5 linked regions of the Rattus norvegicus genome follow. The protein of the gene in region 1 interacts with the protein of each later gene in a biochemical or structural test. Links are inferred from orthologs where the notes say so. Each region holds a gene or a part of one and is shown in the gene's direction. Other genes may lie near its edges. The genes, in order: Gnaq, Grk2, Rgs4, Plcb1 and Ric8a.

Region 1 (3,514 bases):
CAGGGACAGGGGAGAGTGGCAAGAGTACCTTCATTAAGCAGATGAGGATCATCCACGGGTCGGGGTACTCTGATGAAGACAAGAGGGGCTTTACCAAACTGGTGTATCAGAACATCTTTACAGCCATGCAGGCCATGATCAGAGCTATGGACACTCTCAAGATCCCATACAAGTATGAACACAATAAGGTAAGTGGACTCATTATAACAGTTGCCACTGTGGGGTCTAAACCCTTCTAGAGTGGACCGTGGGTATTTGGAATGTACTTTATCCCCTCCCCTCTCCTTATGACCTCATCTCCTCTCCCTCCCCTCCCTGTATGGATGGATACACAGATGCTGGCTTATGGAGGCTAGAAGTGTCTTCCTCTCTCACTCTTCACCTTATTGGATTGTTTATGTTATAAAGAAAAGACTTTAACTATTACCTGGCCTGTTTGATAATAGAAAATTGTTCACAGTTGCAAAAGTGGTTCTATCTTTTTGGAGTGCCACAGCAACACTGGAATTTCCTTTAATACTGCCCAAGTGTTGCTTCATTGAATGAGAAGTTTCACTGGTTGTGGAGGGAGCTGTGGACCAGATGGCATGGCACTGTGTGTCTTTTTATAAGCCTCACTCTTTTCTAAGGATTCTAAACTTAGGAAGCGGCTTGTAATGCATTTCAGTAAGTTGCACACTTTTACCAAACTCTGATTCATTTTTCCTTGAGTGTAGGTATCCATTGTTCAGTCCTTGGGAGTTCTTGACTAAAAAAGCAAGTTTATATAATGGTGAGGGGCTTCAACCCACCCCACACTGAGGAAGCACATGTTTTTGGATTTCTTTTGAACAAACAGTGGTAAAGAGTTTATTTATAAATACCATCTTGTCTTCTCTCTGAATACGTGTTCATAGCCAACGATAAAAGAGATTGTCATTTATTGAAGCCTGCTTATGTAAAGTGTAGGACCACGAGACAAGTTCTTTATTTAGTTCTTTCTAAAAGGACGAATTTCATTCATCTTACACAGATATGTTCTTCTGATTACACTCTCTGTCTTGGTCTAGAATTTGATTATTAATAAAAAGGAAGCGATAGTGTGCCTCTGTATTAGCATGGCTAGGGAACTGTCTGGAATTGCAGCGTGGTAAAGAAGGCCTGAATTTGGCAGATGGTGTTCTTCCTGTATTTCTGTTGTAGTATTTCATATGTCATGCATTGTCTCCTCCGTCTCAGGAAGCAAGCATGCTCTTTGGGAGTATTTCCCCCCCACAGCAAAACAGGGACAAAGCAGAGGCTTTTGCCGATAGGATCCTGGTATCCCTGTGCAGCTGATTTGTGATTTCTGTAAGGCAGAGCAGAAGTATCTACAGTCTGTCCATTGCCGGTTGCTGTAGGAGGAAAGCAGCTGATATGGCGCTGTTACATGAAAAGGAATGATAGTGGGGACTCAGTCTGTGCTACCTTCATGCTGACAAGTTCAGTTTCTTTTCATTCTATAGTTTGAGCATCCTTGATCTGAAAATCTAAGATCTCATCATGTGGAGGACAAAGGATAGCTTGCAGGATTCAGTCTTTCCTTCCCTGTCTAAATTCAGTAAAATTACTAAAAAATGTGCTACTAGGCTATGAGTATGAAAAACAAGTGAATTTTAGTTTAGATTTCAGCCTCATCTCACAGAGACTTGTGTATATGCATGTGTTACCATATGTAAAAGCTCTGCATTCTAGAATGTTTCTGGTGCAAGCTTTTCTGACAAGGATACTCACCCTTACCTAGGCTCTAAGTTTGGTCTTTGGAGTTCTGATGGCTCATTTAGCAACCAGTCTTTAGCTCCCTTTGCCTAAGTAGCTACAGGCTGTCACTATGACACCCGGTTTTCCTTTTCATTTGGAGTGGAGGGAAACTTAAGTGGACCAATAAGTGCTAAGAATAAGAAGGACATGTTACAGGAAAGTACCTCATTAGGGTTGGGGGCATGATTCAGTCAGTAAAGCACTTACCGTGTAAGCCTCAAGATCTAAGTTCTTTCCTCAGAATTGAGCTAAACATGCTGAGGCATTATTACATGGGCATGTAATCCCAGCATTGGAGATACAAAGACGGGAGGATCCAAAGACTCCTTAGCCAGCCAGCTAGCCTAATTGATGAGCGTCAGGCAAATGAGAATGGTACCAGGGACATACTCCAGCCCTCATTCTCTTGCTTAGTGAATGAATATATATATATATATCCACTCCTAAGATGTAAGCATTTGTTAAAGATGTTTAAATTATTCTAATTTTTTGTATTTTCTTTAAAAAAAATTCAACATCTTCAATGCTATTTTCCAGGAAAAGTAGCCAAAATTCTAAAGGCTATATTATTCCTGTCTTTGATCAACTCAATAAGAAATTGCTACTTAAAAACAAAACAAAACAAAAACAAGGGAATTTTCTTAGTTCACAGAATGACCACACACTGATTGCATTGAGGAATTTCCACCTGTGTAATAAACAGAACCCACAGTCTGCTGTTTTGGTTTGCCTGTCAAAAAGTGAGGGGAGCCAAAGATTTTGTAGGCTGTAGAAACCAACCACTGGATGAGGAAGAAGAGGAAAACTTTTGAGGCGTGAGCTCACAGGAGGCCTGAGAAGCTGAAGGACTGTGCTTGGGAGAGATGAACTTCAGCCCATTTCAATCTTTCAGCACTCACTCCTGATTCGAATTCCTGGGAAAAAGTGTTGGATTGGCTGAGTCTGGATTCTTTGCTAGTTCTTTAGACAGGGGAAGGAAGTCTGGTCAATGTGATTGACAGTCCCTGGGGGAAATCTGGGTACTGCTAGTGGAAAAAGGAGAACAATTCTGGCCCAGCTCACAAATGTCTACTACAAAAGTGCACAGTCGATTTATAACATGGAATGACATGTGAACTCTCTGTAGATGCAAGTCCTCTGAGTTTACTTAGCATTTACCCTAAAATAAAATTTCTTATTCTGGACTTACTCTGAGTTACAGGGTGGGAAGGGACTTAAAGAGGCTACTGACTCAGTGACAGCTATCTGCTCTCGGTTTGCTCTGCAGTGACTCCATACCAGCATCTGAGTCCTAGCAAGGAAAAGCCAAAGAATCTGGCAGTCTTTACATTTGTTAAGATATCTTCATTTCTTCATAGTCTAGGCCTGAATTTTCTAGGCCTGAATTTTCTCATGTGTGGGAGTGGGACAAATAATAAGATGGTTTCAAAGTTCAAAAGATAATACACGGGAAATACCTTTACACTTTTTGGCAGTGTCAAGTAGAGGAAAGCAATCCTTGGAGTGATGGCTGTTGGGATGGGATGCCGAAAGGGGCACAGAGCACTCCTCACCTGGACACGTTCACAACAGGAGGGAATTTGAGCATGTGGCATTTTCTAAAGCAGTCTTAAGAAATTAAAGCAGGTGATGAACTAGACAATCTGAAGTCCCTTCTGATAGTTCCCTTGTGCTGATCCCTCTTTTAAAACAGACAGGAGAGGACTGAAGTGAGGAAAGAGTGCAACAATAGACT
Region 2 (4,269 bases), about 12 Mb from region 1:
CGTAGAGGGGAGCCCTCTATGGCCTGGGTATTAGAGGTGGAGCCTCCCTTATCTCTTACCAGCCTCATCCATCATTCTTCCTCACTTTTCCCATTCTTGTTTTTTGACATTGGTCTTTGACCTCTTGTCCAGACACAGCCCCTTCCGGCAGCACAAGACCAAAGACAAGCATGAGATTGACCGCATGACATTGACAATGGTAAGTGTAAGAGTGCAGTGAAGGTGCATGTGATGCCAGAAGCATAAACTCCTGGTTCTCTCTAGCCAGCAGAGCTCTTGAGCCAGTCATCCCTTCTCTGTCCCTTCCTTAAGGGATAGGCTTCTTGCCCTGTAGCCTCTTGCCTTGTTTATGATGTCAGAGCTCACACTTGGTGAGAACCAGTAGGAAGCTGGGCCTCATCTCCTTCTGCTGGCCTCTCACCCTCCCCCAGAACCAAGGGCTCACTCTTCCTGGCTTCTGTTGACACCCTCCTTCTCTTTGTCCTGAAAGGCTGTTGAGCTGCCTGACTCCTTCTCCCCTGAACTCCGATCCCTGCTGGAAGGTTTGCTGCAGAGGGATGTCAATCGGAGACTAGGCTGTCTGGGCCGTGGGTGAGCATTCTGACCTCTCCACCATGTGGACTTCCTCAGTCTTTGCTGTGGTCTGTTGGACCAGCCTGGTTGGCCTCTGGCTGTGCCCCCTTAGAACAGTGGCTGTGTCCCCTCATTTAAACCCCTCCATGGAGCTCACAAGGGAGGTCATGGCCCTATGCCCTGAAGGTAGCAGGGCAGCTGAGTGTGTCACAGTTCGAATCAACTGAGGATGGGCTTTCAAAGGGTTCAGAGAAAATCTTTGTAGCAAAGACTATTTTTTTTTTTTTTGCATAGGGGGGAGGGTATTTTTTGAGACAAGGTTTCATGTAAGCCAGGTTAGTCTTACTCTGTAGTTGAGGCTGGCCTTGAACACGTCTGCCTCTGATTAAAGGCATGTACCACCACACCCAGCTTAATAGCAACTTTGTAGGTCTACCGGGATATCTGTTAATTATCAGACAAAGTAGTATTAAAACTCACATCAACCCCAGGATGTGAGAGCTGCTTCTCCCATTTAGAGATGAGCAAATTGGCTGAGAGTTCCAGAACTTGCCTAAGGTCACAGACCAAAAGGTAGCTGAGTCAGGAGTCAGACCTAAGCTGGTGACCCCACAGTTTGGACCTAGCTCATCGTGGGTAGTGCAGAGCCCAGGTGACGGGTGTTTCTCCATAGGGCTCAAGAGGTAAAAGAAAGCCCCTTCTTCCGTTCCCTGGACTGGCAGATGGTCTTCTTACAGAAGGTAAAAGTCTATCCAGGGGTAGGATGGGAAACCCCATGGCCCCTCACCCATGCTGATGCTCAGCCTCTGCTCTGCACAGTACCCTCCTCCACTGATCCCCCCACGCGGGGAGGTGAATGCAGCGGACGCCTTTGACATTGGCTCCTTTGATGAGGAGGACACAAAAGGAATCAAGGTATGCACCTTGCTTGGCCCTGACCCCTGGACCTGGTCTGGTCTGGTCTGGTCTGGATGGCCCTTGCCCCTTCTCTGCCCCTGTGAGACACTGGCTACCCTGTGAGCCATGGGCCATACTTCCCCATCCCCCAGCCTCCCTGGGGAGGGTGGTTTCATGAGACGATCCCTAGCTTAGGGCCCTACACAGGCCTGTGACTGATAATGTCCTGGCACCCTTTGTCTATCCATGTGCTCCTGCCATGTCCACCTGGTGAAGTTACTGGACAGTGACCAGGAACTGTACCGCAACTTCCCTCTCACCATCTCTGAGCGGTGGCAACAGGAGGTGGCAGAGACTGTCTTTGATACCATCAATGCTGAGACAGACCGGCTGGAGGCACGGAAGAAAGCCAAAAACAAACAGCTGGGCCACGAGGAGGGTGAGGACTTAAGACCGTGGGGGAAGCCCGGCCTGTTGCACACTGCAGAAATGAGAAGCGGGCTCTGCTAAGAAACTGACCAAGACCACAGCCAGCAAGTGTCTGGGTGGGGGTGGGGTATTGAGCCTGCACCCATCTCTTGTACAGACTACGCCCTGGGTAAGGACTGCATCATGCATGGCTACATGTCCAAGATGGGCAACCCCTTCCTGACCCAGTGGCAGCGGCGATACTTCTACCTGTTCCCCAACCGGCTTGAGTGGAGGGGTGAAGGCGAGGCTCCGGTAAGAAAGGTTCTGCTAGGACGTGGTGTGGGTACTGGGTGGGTTTCAGGGCCTTCCTTCACAGCCTGCTCTGTCTTCCCACCTTGCAGCAGAGCCTCCTGACCATGGAAGAGATCCAGTCGGTGGAAGAGACACAGATCAAGGAACGCAAGTGTCTCCTGCTTAAGATCCGAGGTGGCAAGCAGTTTGTCCTGCAGTGTGATGTAAGAGCGGGGGAGGGGAGGTTAGGGTGCGGGTGGGTGGGTGGGTGCCAGCAGAGACTGACAGCCTGGATGTGTACAGAGTGACCCTGAGCTGGTGCAATGGAAAAAAGAGCTGCGCGATGCTTACCGTGAGGCCCAGCAGCTGGTGCAGCGAGTGCCCAAGATGAAGAACAAGCCACGCTCACCTGTGGTGGAGCTGAGCAAGGTGCCACTGATTCAGCGTGGCAGTGCCAACGGCCTCTGATTCACCCATCTGCTGCCCGCCTGCCCACCCGCCTTTTATAAACCTCTAATTTATTTTGTTGAATTTTTATTATTTGTTTTCCCGCAAAGCGGAAAAGGTTTTATTTTGTAATTATTGTGATTTCCTGTGGCCCCAGCCTGGCCCAGCCCCCAGGGAGGGGCCTGCTTGCCTCAGCTCCTGCTGCCACCAACCCAGCCACTGTCTAGCACCCCTGCCCCGCCCCCACCGCATCCCCCTAGGGTCCTTGCTCCCAGTATCTTCCTACTGGGAAGAGGAGCAACCCTCAGCAGCCCTCTTGCCCCTCCATGGGGTGAAGCCACAGTCGGTGGGTGTGTCACTTCAGGCTCTGTGGGCTACACTCAGCCTGAGGCCCAGCTGGGTGGCCCAGCACCCCTACCCTAGGAAGGTGCAACACAGGGATACTACTTGAACTTTCCTATCATAGCTCCCATGCCACAGAGGGACAGACCTCTCTGTCCTGCCCTCTTGCCACTGGTGAGAGAAGGCCCTTGTCTCCCCAGACTTGGCGGTCTCCCACAGTGACGGGCTCCTGGGTCCTTGTTTAGGAAAAGCCTGTGTGTGACACCTGCCTCATCAGGAGGCTGCCATTGGCAGTGGCTGCTGCTGGCCTCCCTGCAAGTCCCCTCTTCCCATTGCGTGCCTGGACTCAGGAGCATAGAAAAACGACTGTAGATTGTTGGGCCACACTGGCCTAGCCTGAACCTAGATCCCTAACTCTGGGCTGGGTGAGGCTCATCTGCCCAGGACCACAGTGGGACAGCCTGGGCAGGTGGGTGGCACAGCATAAGAACCCAGCTGGGGCCGGCCCTCCCTGTCCTGGCTGGTCAGTGTGCCCCCACCCACACTGTCCAGCCCCCTAGCCCATGTCATGTCAGTGGCCACCATCCACAGGTGCCACCTTGCCCACCGCATGCCCCCTTGTGCCAGTCGCGCAGCTGTGTGTGGTGTCGCGCCCTCTCCCTCTGGGGCTGGGTGGGCGCACCCTCCCCTATTGTCTACTCACTCCTGGGGCGTTTCTTTGCCGATTTTTGAATGTGATTTTAAAGAGTGGAAAATGAGACTATGCGTTTTTATAAAAAATGGTGCCTGACTCCTTGCTGTCTCAGACTCTTTGTGTCTGGTGACCACTTTTCAGTCACTTCAGTCTGGGGCCTGAAAGGAGAGGATCTTAGTAACCATCCTTCCCTCCCTAGAGGAGTAGACTATTCTGTCCACCTCCCAGATAAGCAGGAGTGATAAGCAGGAGTGGCCCGTAGTCCATGTCAGCTGTCATGTTTGGAATAGCTGGGGACATATTGGTCTTAGCAAGTCCCCCTGCACATCAAGCACTGCGTTAATCCCCTTTTTCTCCTCCACACTGCATCTCTGGGCCTTTGACTGTGTCTAGCATTGCTCTCTCTGTGGCCTCACTATGTAACCTGTACCGGGGTCTCTGGGCTTGAGTACCTCAGCATCAAGTCTACCTTTCCTGAGAATGAACTATCTTTTTCCTGTGTCTTTGCTCCAGGCCATTGCAGCCAGTGACAACATGTAAGCACCACTGTCCTCCCTGTTCAGTGCACAGAGGAGACAGTTCTGGGGCAGATACTGTGGGGTCTTGGATGAAGT
Region 3 (3,806 bases), on another chromosome or scaffold:
CCCCCCCCCTCTCTCTCTTTCTCTCTGTCATCATTTATCTCACACACACACACACACACACACACACACACACACACACACTCATGTACCACACACACACACTCATGCACCACACACACACACTCATGCACCACACACACACACTCATGCACCACATACACACACACACACACACACACACACACACACACACACACACACACACACACTGAGGATAGTATTACTCAGCATAAGACAAGCCATTTCTGGGTAACTTTGGTTCTTTGTCCTTTGTCACAGGTGGACTGGCAGCTTTCAAAGCTTTCCTGAAGTCAGAATACAGTGAGGAGAACATTGACTTCTGGATCAGCTGTGAGGAGTACAAGAAAATCAAATCACCTTCTAAACTAAGTCCCAAGGCCAAGAAGATCTACAATGAGTTCATCTCTGTGCAGGCAACAAAAGAGGTATGTTTCCATGGCAGAGAACTTTCTAGATCTTAGTGGGAATTCATAGGAGAGGCATTCAGGGGCAGAAATCTTTAGATCTACTAAAGGAGCAATAGGACTGGCTATTATAATCTTGACATTTCAAGTAAGTCTATTAGGAAAAAAGCCATTTTGTCTATGTGATCTCAATGACTCTCCTTAATAAATATAATTATAAATCTCTCAAATGAGAGAGTAAAGGAAAGGGAAGTGCTCTTTCCACTTCAGGGCAGAGCTGACCTTTTATACACATATGCCAGGGCACACCCAAATGTCCCGGGTTTCACTCCTGGGAGGAAGGTAAAGAAAGGGTCCTGGCTACTCCTTTTTGAATGTAAGCCTCCTCTCTTCAACAGAGCTCTAGCTCTAATGCAACCTTGGTCTTTGCACTTTAGGTGAACCTGGATTCTTGCACCAGAGAGGAGACAAGCCGGAACATGTTAGAGCCCACGATAACCTGTTTTGATGAAGCCCAGAAGAAGATTTTCAACCTGATGGAAAAGGATTCATACCGTCGTTTCCTCAAGTCTCGATTCTATCTTGACCTGACCAATCCTTCCAGCTGCGGGGCAGAGAAGCAGAAAGGAGCCAAGAGTTCTGCAGACTGCACTTCCCTAGTCCCTCAGTGTGCCTAATTCTCACACAGAGGCAGAGAACCGAAATGCCAAGACTCTATGCTCTGGAAAACCTGAGGCCAAATATTGATCTGTATTAAGCATCAATGCTTTCTCCACATTGTAGCCTAGTATCCATGCTGCCTGCCGTGTGTGAGTCACTTCCATGTAAAACTAGACTTAGCTGTGGTGTGGGGGTTTTCATTGGGGTAAGACCCAACTTGTTTTCAATTTTCCCAAGTTTCCTTAAAGGGTGTCAGGTGAGCAAGTCTCCAAATAATGGCCCTGTAGGTCTGGATTTTCAAAGATGGTTAGTAGTCCACCCCTTCCAACAGTTTGACCTCAAGTTAGTTGGTACACTTCATGTGATGTCACATGCACATGCAATGTCAGCCAGCAGCACTTCCTACAGACTTTCAACGTTTAGGTGATATTTGTGTATGTGTATGTATATATTAAATATATAGAACATATGCATATACATTCTGTATATATTATATCTATGTATTCAGTATGTGTGAATGTGCATGAATATATATATATATGCATATATATATTTGTATATGTTCACACATGCACACACATTTCTTCAAGAAAAGATGGGAAAGATCCTTGGTGCTCAAATTGGAGTGTGTACACATGCTTGCATGCATGTTCTGACTTCTGGTCCTTCATACTGTGTCTGAACAGGGCAAACTAAATTAACTGCCATGCAGGCTAAGAAAGGAACACTAACTTGTAAAAAGTGAGTTCCGTCAAGCCACTGGGTCTTGATGGAGCATAGTCAGGGCCTTTGTGTTTAATCTCGTCAATGGCCTCCACATTGAGCACTGAGCTATGGGGTGAGTACTCCGAAAACTCTGCTGTCTGACTGACACAGAGCTGCCTCGCACCGGTGATTACTACTAGCACTTTTAAGTCCCTATGCTGTTGGCCATCCCTCCTTTGCCTGGGTGCTCAGGGCATGCTGACTAGCAGCTGGGTTGGTCTGGAGATGGATGTTTGAGAGGAATGAAGGAATGCGGTCCAGGCCTTGTTGCCTAGCCCTACAAATGACTACTGCTTAGGTGAGGGCAGAAGACCCCGAGGTTATCTTAATTCTTTCCTCTCTTGATAAGGTGCTCTCCTATTCCTACCCCCAAAGAACGTCACCTGTCAGATGAGCCTCTTTACTTCCCCGTGGTTGGTTGCTCACGTTAGGAACCATGGCCACCTGCAAGTCATTCTAAGCTACCCGCTTACATTTTTCAAAAGCATCACCAGGGGGAAAGGTTATGCTGTCCCAGGAGGAAGTAAGCTCTTATGAGCTGTAAACCCCTTTTTGGTTTTCTGCTTTGAGGTAAGAGCTTGTTCATCCCATCCCAAACACCAAAGTTAGCAGAGACCAACGGAAGGAGAGAGGAAAGAAAAAAAAAAGAAAGAGAAGAGAAAAGAGGAGGACGGGATATCAGTTGGTAGGACTACTGTTTGGAGCTTTTTAAGGCACGTGAAATACTTGAAAATTTCTCATTTGTGTTATTTATGTTGTTTTGTACAATGTTTTTATTACTGTATTGTTTTATAAATGGAGGTACAGGATATTACCCGAATTATTAATGAATGCCCAAGAAGTAATTTTCTTCTCATTCCTCTAAAAGTCCTGCCTTTGAGAGCGCACACAGACTCGTGCATACTGCAGGCACAGCTCCAGTTTAAATTCCATGCATGAGCACCATTGTGGCTGCAAAGTGAAGACACTCATAGTGTGAATCCAAGTCTCACCATTATTGAAGAAGTCAGTTTTCTAACAGTACTGTTGTCTCTCTTGACAGTCTTGCGTATAATATCCCCAGAGCTCCCCCATCAGTGGTCCTAACTCCTTTTTGTAATACACAAGTCCACAGTCGTGTCTGTATAACTCTCCGGTCTTGCCCTAATATTATCATGACTTTGAGATTGTACCTGTACTCCCAGACTGCTGTCTCACAAATAGGTCTGGGAAAAGTCATTCTGAATGAGAAGTAAATTATTTTATGTAATACATCTTGAGTGTGTCTTCAGTTGTATTTGCCATCGCTCTTTGGTCTGGCGAGCCTGCCTGCTGCTGGCCCCTGCAAAGGACGCTCCTTCCAGATGCATGTCTGTTTCTGCCATGTGCTTTATAGGCCTCAGCGCTGATGCTTCCAATGAAACACATAGATCTGAATGATAACAGGAAATAAATGCTTCCTACAAAACAATCTGCTTGGAAACACATTAATGATCCAGAGAGGCAATGCCGTGAGAAACAGCGGGGCATAGGATGCCTTTACAAAATGACTCACAGGGAGTCTTCTATCCCTCCCCTGCCAACTCCAGAAAGGAAAGTAGAAGTTGTATTGTTTAGGCTTAGGCCCCTTTCACTGTTCTGCCTGCTTCTGCTCCCAGGTCCCTGGCTGTTCTAGGTTTGAAGACTAGGCAACTTTAGTGTACTGCAGATCTTCAATTTGGTTGGGGGGAGAAAATACCCCAAACTAAAACAAAATAAAACAAACAAACAAAAAACCCCAACGAAACAAAACAATACCACCAAAAAACAAAAATATCAGAATAAGAAAAGAAACCAGATCAACAACAGTAACCAATGGGGTCTCACTCAGGCTGTCCTCCACTGGTTATAACTTAACTGTGAAGACTAGTTTGGGCTCAAATTCATGGAGATCCTCCTACCTCGACTTCTCAAGTCTTAGGGTGACTGGTACAGTTT
Region 4 (3,514 bases), on another chromosome or scaffold:
TTCTGAGCTCACCCATGACAGACAGGGACAGGACTTCGAAGATGATGTTTGGATGAGAAATCCAGCCCAGCGGCAGGAGCATAAGTGGTGGGAGCCAAGAAAGGACAAAGACCCTGCTGATGTGGTCAGAGATTCTGAAGGAGTCAGGGAGGCAGGAACCTGGGAATCTCGCTGAGTGGTCCACGGTTATTGTGTCCATTAACCTTTATGGCAGGTCCCCAAGATATTGATGACTAGATTATAGCTAGACTAAAACATGGGAACTGTTATAGGAATATGTAGACTTAACTCTTACTTAACAATATGACACAGACTAATTATTTAGCTAGACAACGGAGGCCCACAGTTCTGCAGATGGCAAACTGGATGAGGAGAGAGGTCATGATTACTCGGTGACTTCCAAGGATGCTATTCATTTATTGCTCCCATTCTACTTCATCTGATTGGCTACTAACCTCCCCATTCTCAGTCTCCTCAATCAACTCCTTAAGTGGAAGAGCAATGGCATTTCTATTCTTCCTTGTATTTCATCGTACGATTTCCCACTCAGGAAACTCTTGGACCACCTTAGAGTTGTCCCCCGATGCTTTGTTACTCATGGCTCAAGACTTCTTGATATTTTCTAGATTATTTCAGGTCAGTTTCTCTCTGATAAGAAAGTTGGGACTTATGTGGAAGTGGATATGTTTGGTTTGCCTGTGGACACAAGAAGGAAGGCATTTAAAACCAAGACATCCCAAGGAAATGCTGTAAATCCTGTCTGGGAAGAAGAGCCAATTGTATTCAAAAAGGTGGGTCTCATGCTTGCTGTGAGAGGCAAATTTTTCTGGGTGCTTTAAACAGAGGAAAAACAAAGCAGTTATTTGGTTATGGGTGCATTTTGGAGGTTATCATAAAGGCTTTAATTTTATTTTTTAGTATTTAGCATTATTTAATTGTATAAATGTCTACCCTGTGTATAAATTTGTGCAGCACATCCTGGTGCCTAGGATATCAGAAGAGCCAGGTAGGGCTCCTACAAATAGAGTTATCGACCCTTGTAAGCTGCTGTGTGGGTGCTAGGAACTGAACCTGAATTCTCTTCAAGAGCAACAAATATTCTTAACCTCCGAGACTTATTCCCAGCTCCTATTTTTAGGTATTGATTTAATATATCACAATCATTTCCTGTGAAAACCTACACGAGTAATGATGTGACCCTCTATCTGAGTTCGTGGAACTTTCCTCATTAATGATGTATGTGTAATAACAGGTACCCTTTCGTTCAATGCTCCTCAAATGGTACTAAGCACAGAGGGACACCCAAATGCAGTCCCGTGTCTTTTCTTATTTCACAGAGAGGCAACTTAACTTTTTACTTAAATTGACTGAGTAGATACTCAGCTTTGGGAAAAGCAGGGACAGTTTTTCTAGTACTTCTCTAGTTCTTTCTAGGGTTTGCTTACTCTTGTAACCAGAATCCTTTCTATCCCCACAGGTAGTTCTGCCTTCTCTGGCCTGTTTAAGGATAGCAGCATATGAGGAAGGAGGCAAATTTATTGGCCACCGGATCTTGCCTGTGCAAGCAATTCGGCCAGGTATGCATAATGTGGTGAGAGATTTCCATTAAACAATGACTTAGGAGCTGTTGCTCCTCTGTGATTGTGCTGAATGGTGGGGGCGTAAGAATTGTTCCAATCAGTCTGGTAGTTGTGTATGTTTGTCATGGTGCTGTGTTGTCAAAGCCAACTTTGATTGTAATACATGTGTAACAAGCTGCTTGGAAGCTCACATGCATGAGTCACGGGTCCCGATTCATGAGTCTCGTGGGTTAGTACTGTGTATTAGCTTCTTTTTACTACTATAATGAAAATACCTGACTCAGACTACTTTATAAAGAAAAGAAGTTTATTTCACTCAGTCCGGAAAGCTACCAAGGTCACAATCTGATCATTTCATCAACTTCTCCTCTGGTCAACGCCTAATAGTGGAGGCTTGCTAGAGGAAGTGGGGGTGAGGGGTCACCTCACCAGACAGGAAACCAGAGAACTAGGTAAGGTCACACTCAGTCTTTTTAATGAGACTATCTCTCAGAAACCATCTCTGGCAAGACCAAGTAGCACAGGCCTATGACTCCAGCTGTGCAGAGGGGAGCAGCTGGATGATCCCACAGCCTCCAACATGGGAGCCTGTGTGGTAAAGCCACAGAATAAAGATCGACTGGAATAGCCTGAGCTCATGGAAGACCAAGCACATTGGCCACAGTATAAAAATTGACTGGGCTATCCTGAGCTCAGTGGCATAGTTGTGCTTTTGGGGTGCCATTTGGGTTCATTATTGTTCCATGTGTGCTCATTTTGGGGTGCATGCTGAAGTAGTGGTGGCATCCAATCTAGGGATTTCCTTTTCCTAACCCACAAGGATATTAAAGGTGCCTAACTCAACATGTGTGCATTCATTCTTTGCTTGCCCCAAACCACTAATGTCTCATGGACAAAACAGATCCCCAGTCATGAAACCATGTCAAGTATGACTTATTATAGAAGACACATTTGGACCAATAATTTGGACCACTGGAGCATACAGTTTGGAAGGGGAAATGTGGTGAGAACAGAAAAAAAAAAAACAAAAATAAAAACAGAGTCAGCAGTGTTCAAATTGTGTGATTAAGCTGAGAAGGGAGTGGACTGTTTGTCGAGCACCATGGGTATGAATGGATATAGCTAGCATTGTGAAACCAACAGATGACACTTGGTGTCCTTGTCTCCCTGCAGGCTATCACTACATCTGCCTGCGGAATGAGAGGAACCAGCCCCTGATGCTGCCAGCTGTCTTTGTCTACATAGAAGTCAAAGACTATGTCCCAGACACGTATGCAGGTAAACAGTGCTACCTGGGTCATCTGCATCTCCATGGCTGGATGGAAGGCCAACTGGGCCAATGCTGGGGCACTGTGGGCCTCATAAGCACAACTTCTTGTGTGTAGATGCTTAACGGTCAGTCATTTGAGCCTCTCCATGTCCATTAGAATCCTACTCTTTCAGTGTTTAGTCTATTTCTACATAGGCAGTCTTATCCCTGTAGGAAAAAACACTCCCCAACCCTTGCTGCCCCTTCCACTGTTGTTAATCTAGGTCTGTACAGTGAATTTGCCTTCGCTCGTAGCAGATCTCTAGTCAATTCTATGGATGGAGTTCTAAATTAACAGGAATTAACTTAACCAGAAGTTAACATTTTAAAATGATTTGTTTGTTTTTTGCTTTGTTTGGTTTGTTTTAATTACCATGGGTCCTGGGAGTGAAGATACTGGCCATTGGCAGACACTGTGACAAACTTGGAACGCATATTTCTGGCCCAAAGATGGACAGCTATAACTGTCTCTACCTAGCCATTGCCATGCACATGACACTCAAATTGCCAATCTTTGGGTTGTTCTAATAATCTGGAAGACAGACTTTATGGGAAGAGTCTATGAAACACATTTAACCAACTAAGCCAAGTGTGAAGGCCATTGCTGGGATAGACAAAATCTTCA
Region 5 (4,132 bases), about 18 Mb from region 1:
TATCACAACTGTCAGACTGAACACAGGCACGGGGGCGGAGGGTGTGTGTGAAACGAGGCACTTGAGCCCTGTAAGTCCCTGCTTGGACCTTCTGCTTCCAGCCCTTGGCATCAACCATACACACAAACTGATGTCATGCCGGCTTGGGTTCCAAGGCAGTGCCAGTTGAAATCTGGCCCTGTTTTTCCTGGAATACGTAAGCGCCATCCCACGCAGATCCCTCCACCGAGGAAAAATTGATGGCTCGTACTCCAGACTTAGACCTTGCCTCCTATCCCAACTACCTTCAGGTGCGCTCACCTCGAGTCCAATCTGCCATCGCGCCTTCCGAGGTCCCACTCGGGGAGTAGGCAACACAGCGACGGACGTGGCACCACTACCTGGGTCTTCCGGTTCCGCCTCAGGTCTAATAACTTCCGGGAGAAGAGTCTGAAGCGGAAGAAACAGACTTGTAGTTCTACACTGGAATGTAAATAAGGGAAGGGCGGGCCGCCAGCATTCGGGCCTACGGATTGGTCAGCAGTATTAGTCCCGCGCTGTGGGTATTACCCGGAGCAGGAGCTCAGACCCCAACCTGGAGCCGAGGGTCGGGTACCTCGGGCGCTGCAAAGTCCCCAAGTGAGAACGACAGGATGGGGAGGACGAGCAGAAGCGAAAGAGACTGGCAAAGGACCTGACACTGAGTAGAGGCAAGCGCCGGTTAGCACAGCGGGCGGCATTATCCTCTGGAACATTGCTTGTGTCACCGTGGGGTGCACCGACTCTGCCTTAAGCTAAGTGGCATGCAGACCTGGCTCCCCACTATACAACGTTCCTACGCTTCTAACCCCAGACACGCCGCGGCTAGCCGCCCCTCCGTTGCTCCTCCCGCGGGAGTCGCTTTTCCACCGGTGTTCTTCACTTCCTTCTCTCCGATCCTTCCTCATACACTCTGCAATTGCCCTTTTCTTTTGATAACCACATTATTTTGGTGGTTTGGTTTTTTGATTGTTTTTAGATAGGTCTGCCCGTTTCTGCCTCTCGAGTGCTGAAATTTAAAAAAGCGTGCGTTACTATGCCCGGCTAACCACGTACATTATTTTGACCATCCAAGTCGTACTTCTCTTTCCTTATTTCCCGTGGAAGATGAGCATCAGGAAGATGACCGCGAGAATCGTCTTCCCCAACTGACTAAGCGGCCAGGAGCCGGCGCTCCCTCTTTTATCACAGTACGGGAACAAGAGTGTAAGGAGAAAGGTTTACGCGCCGGCCAAGCCACACCCCACTCCCCACCCCCGCCCGCCAGGAAGTCGGGCTAGAGAGAAGGGCTCAAAAGGAGGATACTGCTTAGTTAGCTAGCATCGCTGCTCCAAGACAAGCCGCTCAGCGGCCACAGCCGGGTTGCTCCACCTTAAGCCGGAGGCCAGCCCCGCGCCTGTACACACCCTAGGCTCGGCTGTTCTCCCAGCATTCCTCACGCGTGGACGCTGGGCTTCCGGACCTGGGCGGAGTCCCCGGGTTTGGCCGATTGCGTCTTCCCAGCCCAAGTCTTCTAGCACCCCGTGCCAGGGGCCATGGAGCCCCGGGCAGTTGCGGATGCCTTGGAGACGGGAGAGGAAGATGCGGTGACAGAAGCTCTGCGGTCGTTTAACCGAGAGGTGAGAGGCATCCAGCTGCCGAGGAAATTGCAGGAAGTGAGGAAGCAGCCGGTTGCTCGCCACTCGGCTGGGGTGTGCGTGCGAGTGTGGCAGGGAGCAGGGCGGTGGGTGGTGGGCTGGGCCACGGCGGTGCCTCTGTGGTAGTCAGGTGTATGGGTGGCGAGGGTGGGCCTTGCTTTACGTACACAGCGATGGCTGCTGCTTCAGAGGTAGAAGCAGACCTGCTGCTTCTCGAGGAGCACAGGTCCTACCTGCGTGTGGAACTGAGCTTCCTGGGTCTCCCTGCAGCATTCCCAGAGCTTCACCTTCGATGATGCACAGCAGGAGGACAGGAAGGTAGGTGTCAGCCCAAGGGGGTTCCTAGGGCAAGCACGGGCTGCCCCAAGAAGAGGGCCTAGTGGAACCATTTTTGTCCCTTCCCACAGAGACTCGCAAAGCTGCTGGTCTCCGTACTGGAGCAGGGCTTGTCACCAAAACACCGTGTCACCTGGCTGCAGACTATCCGAATCCTATCCCGAGACCGCAGCTGCCTGGACTCATTTGCTAGCCGCCAGAGTTTACACGCACTAGCCTGCTATGCCGACATTGCCATCTCAGAGGAGCCCATCCCACAGCCCCCAGACATGGATGTCCTCCTCGAGTCTCTCAAATGCCTGTGTAATCTTGTGCTCAGCAGTCCTACAGCACAGATGCTAGCAGCAGAGGCTCGACTGGTGGTGAGGCTAGCGGAACGTGTGGGACTGTACCGCAAAAGGAGCTATCCCCACGAAGTCCAGTTCTTTGACTTAAGGCTCCTTTTCCTGCTAACAGCCCTTCGCACTGATGTGCGCCAGCAGCTGTTTCAGGAGCTGCATGGCGTGCGCCTGCTGACCGATGCGCTGGAACTGACATTGGGTGTGGCCCCCAAAGAAAACCCTCTGGTGATACTTCCAGCCCAAGAGACAGAGCGGGCCATGGAAATCCTCAAAGTGCTCTTTAACATCACCTACGACTCTGTTAAGAGGGAGGTTGATGAGGTAGGTTGTAGTCTGAAGTCAATGGGTGGGACTCAGCTCAGCTGGGGCATTTTGTGGGTTTGCTTCCCTGTGTGCCTCAAGTTGCAGGGTGTCGGATATGGCAAGGACTAGAGGACAATCTAGGCAGGAACTCAAGGTTTCTGAGCTGTGTTGTGCATGGGGCTGGGGACGGGTATTCTCCATAATGCTTCAGGTGACCAAGTGTGCTGTGGACAGGGCCTAGTGATCACCATGTGGCCTTGGGTCATAAGAATAGGGTCTTATTCTCACGGGAGCCCCTTTCCGTCTTTGGCTAGGAGGACGCTGCCCTTTACCGGTACCTGGGGACCCTTCTGCGGCACTGTGTGATGGCTGATGCTGCTGGAGACCGCACAGAGGAGTTCCATGGGTGAGGAGCAGGACTTACTATGTTGGGGATGGCAGGAGTTGCCTAGGTATGGGTACAGAAGTCCTTAACCCTAGCTGTGACTCAAGCACCTGGGAGCCCGGGCCCCACCTTTGAGTGTGACATCATGGGGAACGGGATCCCGGTGTGTTTTCAGAGAGCCTAGGGAACTCAGGGTATGACTAAGAAGAGTTTTGAACTTAGAGACAGGGCCTTAGGTGGAGGCCGCATGGTCTCTTGCTGGTGCCTCAGCCAGTCTCTCGAAACTGAGAGATTGCTTGGCATCTCAGCTCAGACAGAATGGTGCAGATAGAGTCTACAGTGTTTCCCCACCAAACTCGAGTTGGGGTACCAACTGCCCTTGCCTCAGTGCTATCCTTCGGGCCCACATATCATGTGTACCCCAGGAGAAGGGCCAGGGATTGTATCTGTGCTAAATATGGTTACTGTGTCAAGGCCTCTGTCTGTCCCCAGCCACACCGTGAATCTCCTGGGGAACCTGCCCCTCAAATGTTTGGATGTCCTTCTCGCTCTGGAGCTACACGAAGGATCCTTAGAGTTTATGGGAGTTAATATGGATGTGATCAATGCCCTCCTTGCCTTCCTAGAGAAGCGTCTGCACCAGGTAGGAGGGGGACCTGCTATGTGGATGCCCAGGGGCTTGGGTACCAGTTATGGCTACTGTTTCTGCACCATTGGTACTGGCAAGTAGAGCTCAGCTTGATGGTATATCCAGGACAGGTCTTCTGATTCTCCGTGGTATAGCTAGATGGTGGCCGCTCAGTCAGGTCCTCTCAGAAGCTTGCGGACACACCATGTGTGTGAACCCTGCTGCTGCTGATTACCAAAGAAAAACAAGCCTCTCAGGGTCTACTAAGGTGACAGTTACCTTTTAGGTCTCTGTGGTCCTGTTAAGTGGTTCTCAGAAGCCTTTGGTTCTTGCTTGTGACCCTCAGCCTCCAACTGTTTCTATATATAGGCAGCCAGAGGTGACATCAGTTTTGTCCCTCTGCATTTTTTATTTTTTATGTTTTTTTTTTTTTTTTTTGAGACAGTAGCCCTGGCTGTCCTACAACTCACTCTGTAGACCAGGC

The links.
Region 2: the proteins of Gnaq (region 1) and Grk2 form a complex in vitro, tested with the Homo sapiens proteins (3 studies listed by BioGRID). The link is inferred for Rattus norvegicus from reciprocal best matches to the Homo sapiens genes GNAQ and GRK2.
Region 3: the proteins of Gnaq (region 1) and Rgs4 form a complex in vitro, tested with the Homo sapiens proteins (3 studies listed by BioGRID). The link is inferred for Rattus norvegicus from reciprocal best matches to the Homo sapiens genes GNAQ and RGS4.
Region 4: the proteins of Gnaq (region 1) and Plcb1 form a complex in vitro, tested with the Homo sapiens proteins (2 studies listed by BioGRID, with this or other methods). The link is inferred for Rattus norvegicus from reciprocal best matches to the Homo sapiens genes GNAQ and PLCB1.
Region 5: the proteins of Gnaq (region 1) and Ric8a form a complex in vitro, tested with the Homo sapiens proteins (2 studies listed by BioGRID). The link is inferred for Rattus norvegicus from reciprocal best matches to the Homo sapiens genes GNAQ and RIC8A.

Annotation. Positions count from the first base shown.
Region 1 is NC_086019.1:222,939,440-222,942,953, forward strand, and holds part of Gnaq (guanine nucleotide-binding protein G(q) subunit alpha), read left to right. Parts: intron 1-3; coding exon 4-188; intron 189-194; exon of another isoform or gene 195-3,514.
Region 2 is NC_086019.1:211,009,752-211,014,020, reverse strand, and holds the end of Grk2 (beta-adrenergic receptor kinase 1), read left to right. Parts: intron 1-132; coding exon 133-199; intron 200-490; coding exon 491-591; intron 592-1,246; coding exon 1,247-1,313; intron 1,314-1,392; coding exon 1,393-1,488; intron 1,489-1,746; coding exon 1,747-1,909; intron 1,910-2,056; coding exon 2,057-2,193; intron 2,194-2,282; coding exon 2,283-2,396; intron 2,397-2,475; coding exon 2,476-2,640; 3' UTR 2,641-3,762; downstream 3,763-4,269. UniProt on the Homo sapiens protein: Specifically phosphorylates the agonist-occupied form of the beta-adrenergic and closely related receptors, probably inducing a desensitization of them. Key regulator of LPAR1 signaling.
Region 3 is NC_086031.1:84,469,080-84,472,885, reverse strand, and holds the end of Rgs4 (regulator of G-protein signaling 4), read left to right. Parts: intron 1-279; coding exon 280-446; intron 447-862; coding exon 863-1,102; 3' UTR 1,103-3,293; downstream 3,294-3,806. UniProt on the Homo sapiens protein: Inhibits signal transduction by increasing the GTPase activity of G protein alpha subunits thereby driving them into their inactive GDP-bound form. Activity on G(z)-alpha is inhibited by phosphorylation of the G-protein.
Region 4 is NC_086021.1:143,089,765-143,093,278, forward strand, and holds part of Plcb1 (1-phosphatidylinositol 4,5-bisphosphate phosphodiesterase beta-1), read left to right. Parts: intron 1-626; coding exon 627-791; intron 792-1,477; coding exon 1,478-1,577; intron 1,578-2,753; coding exon 2,754-2,858; intron 2,859-3,514.
Region 5 is NC_086019.1:205,363,474-205,367,605, forward strand, and holds the start of Ric8a (synembryn-A), read left to right. Parts: upstream 1-1,322; 5' UTR 1,323-1,553; coding exon 1,554-1,637; intron 1,638-1,826; exon of another isoform or gene 1,827-1,925; coding exon 1,926-1,973; intron 1,974-2,062; coding exon 2,063-2,653; intron 2,654-2,949; coding exon 2,950-3,041; intron 3,042-3,512; coding exon 3,513-3,663; intron 3,664-4,132. Other genes in the region: Bet1l (BET1-like protein), read right to left, coding at 301-319.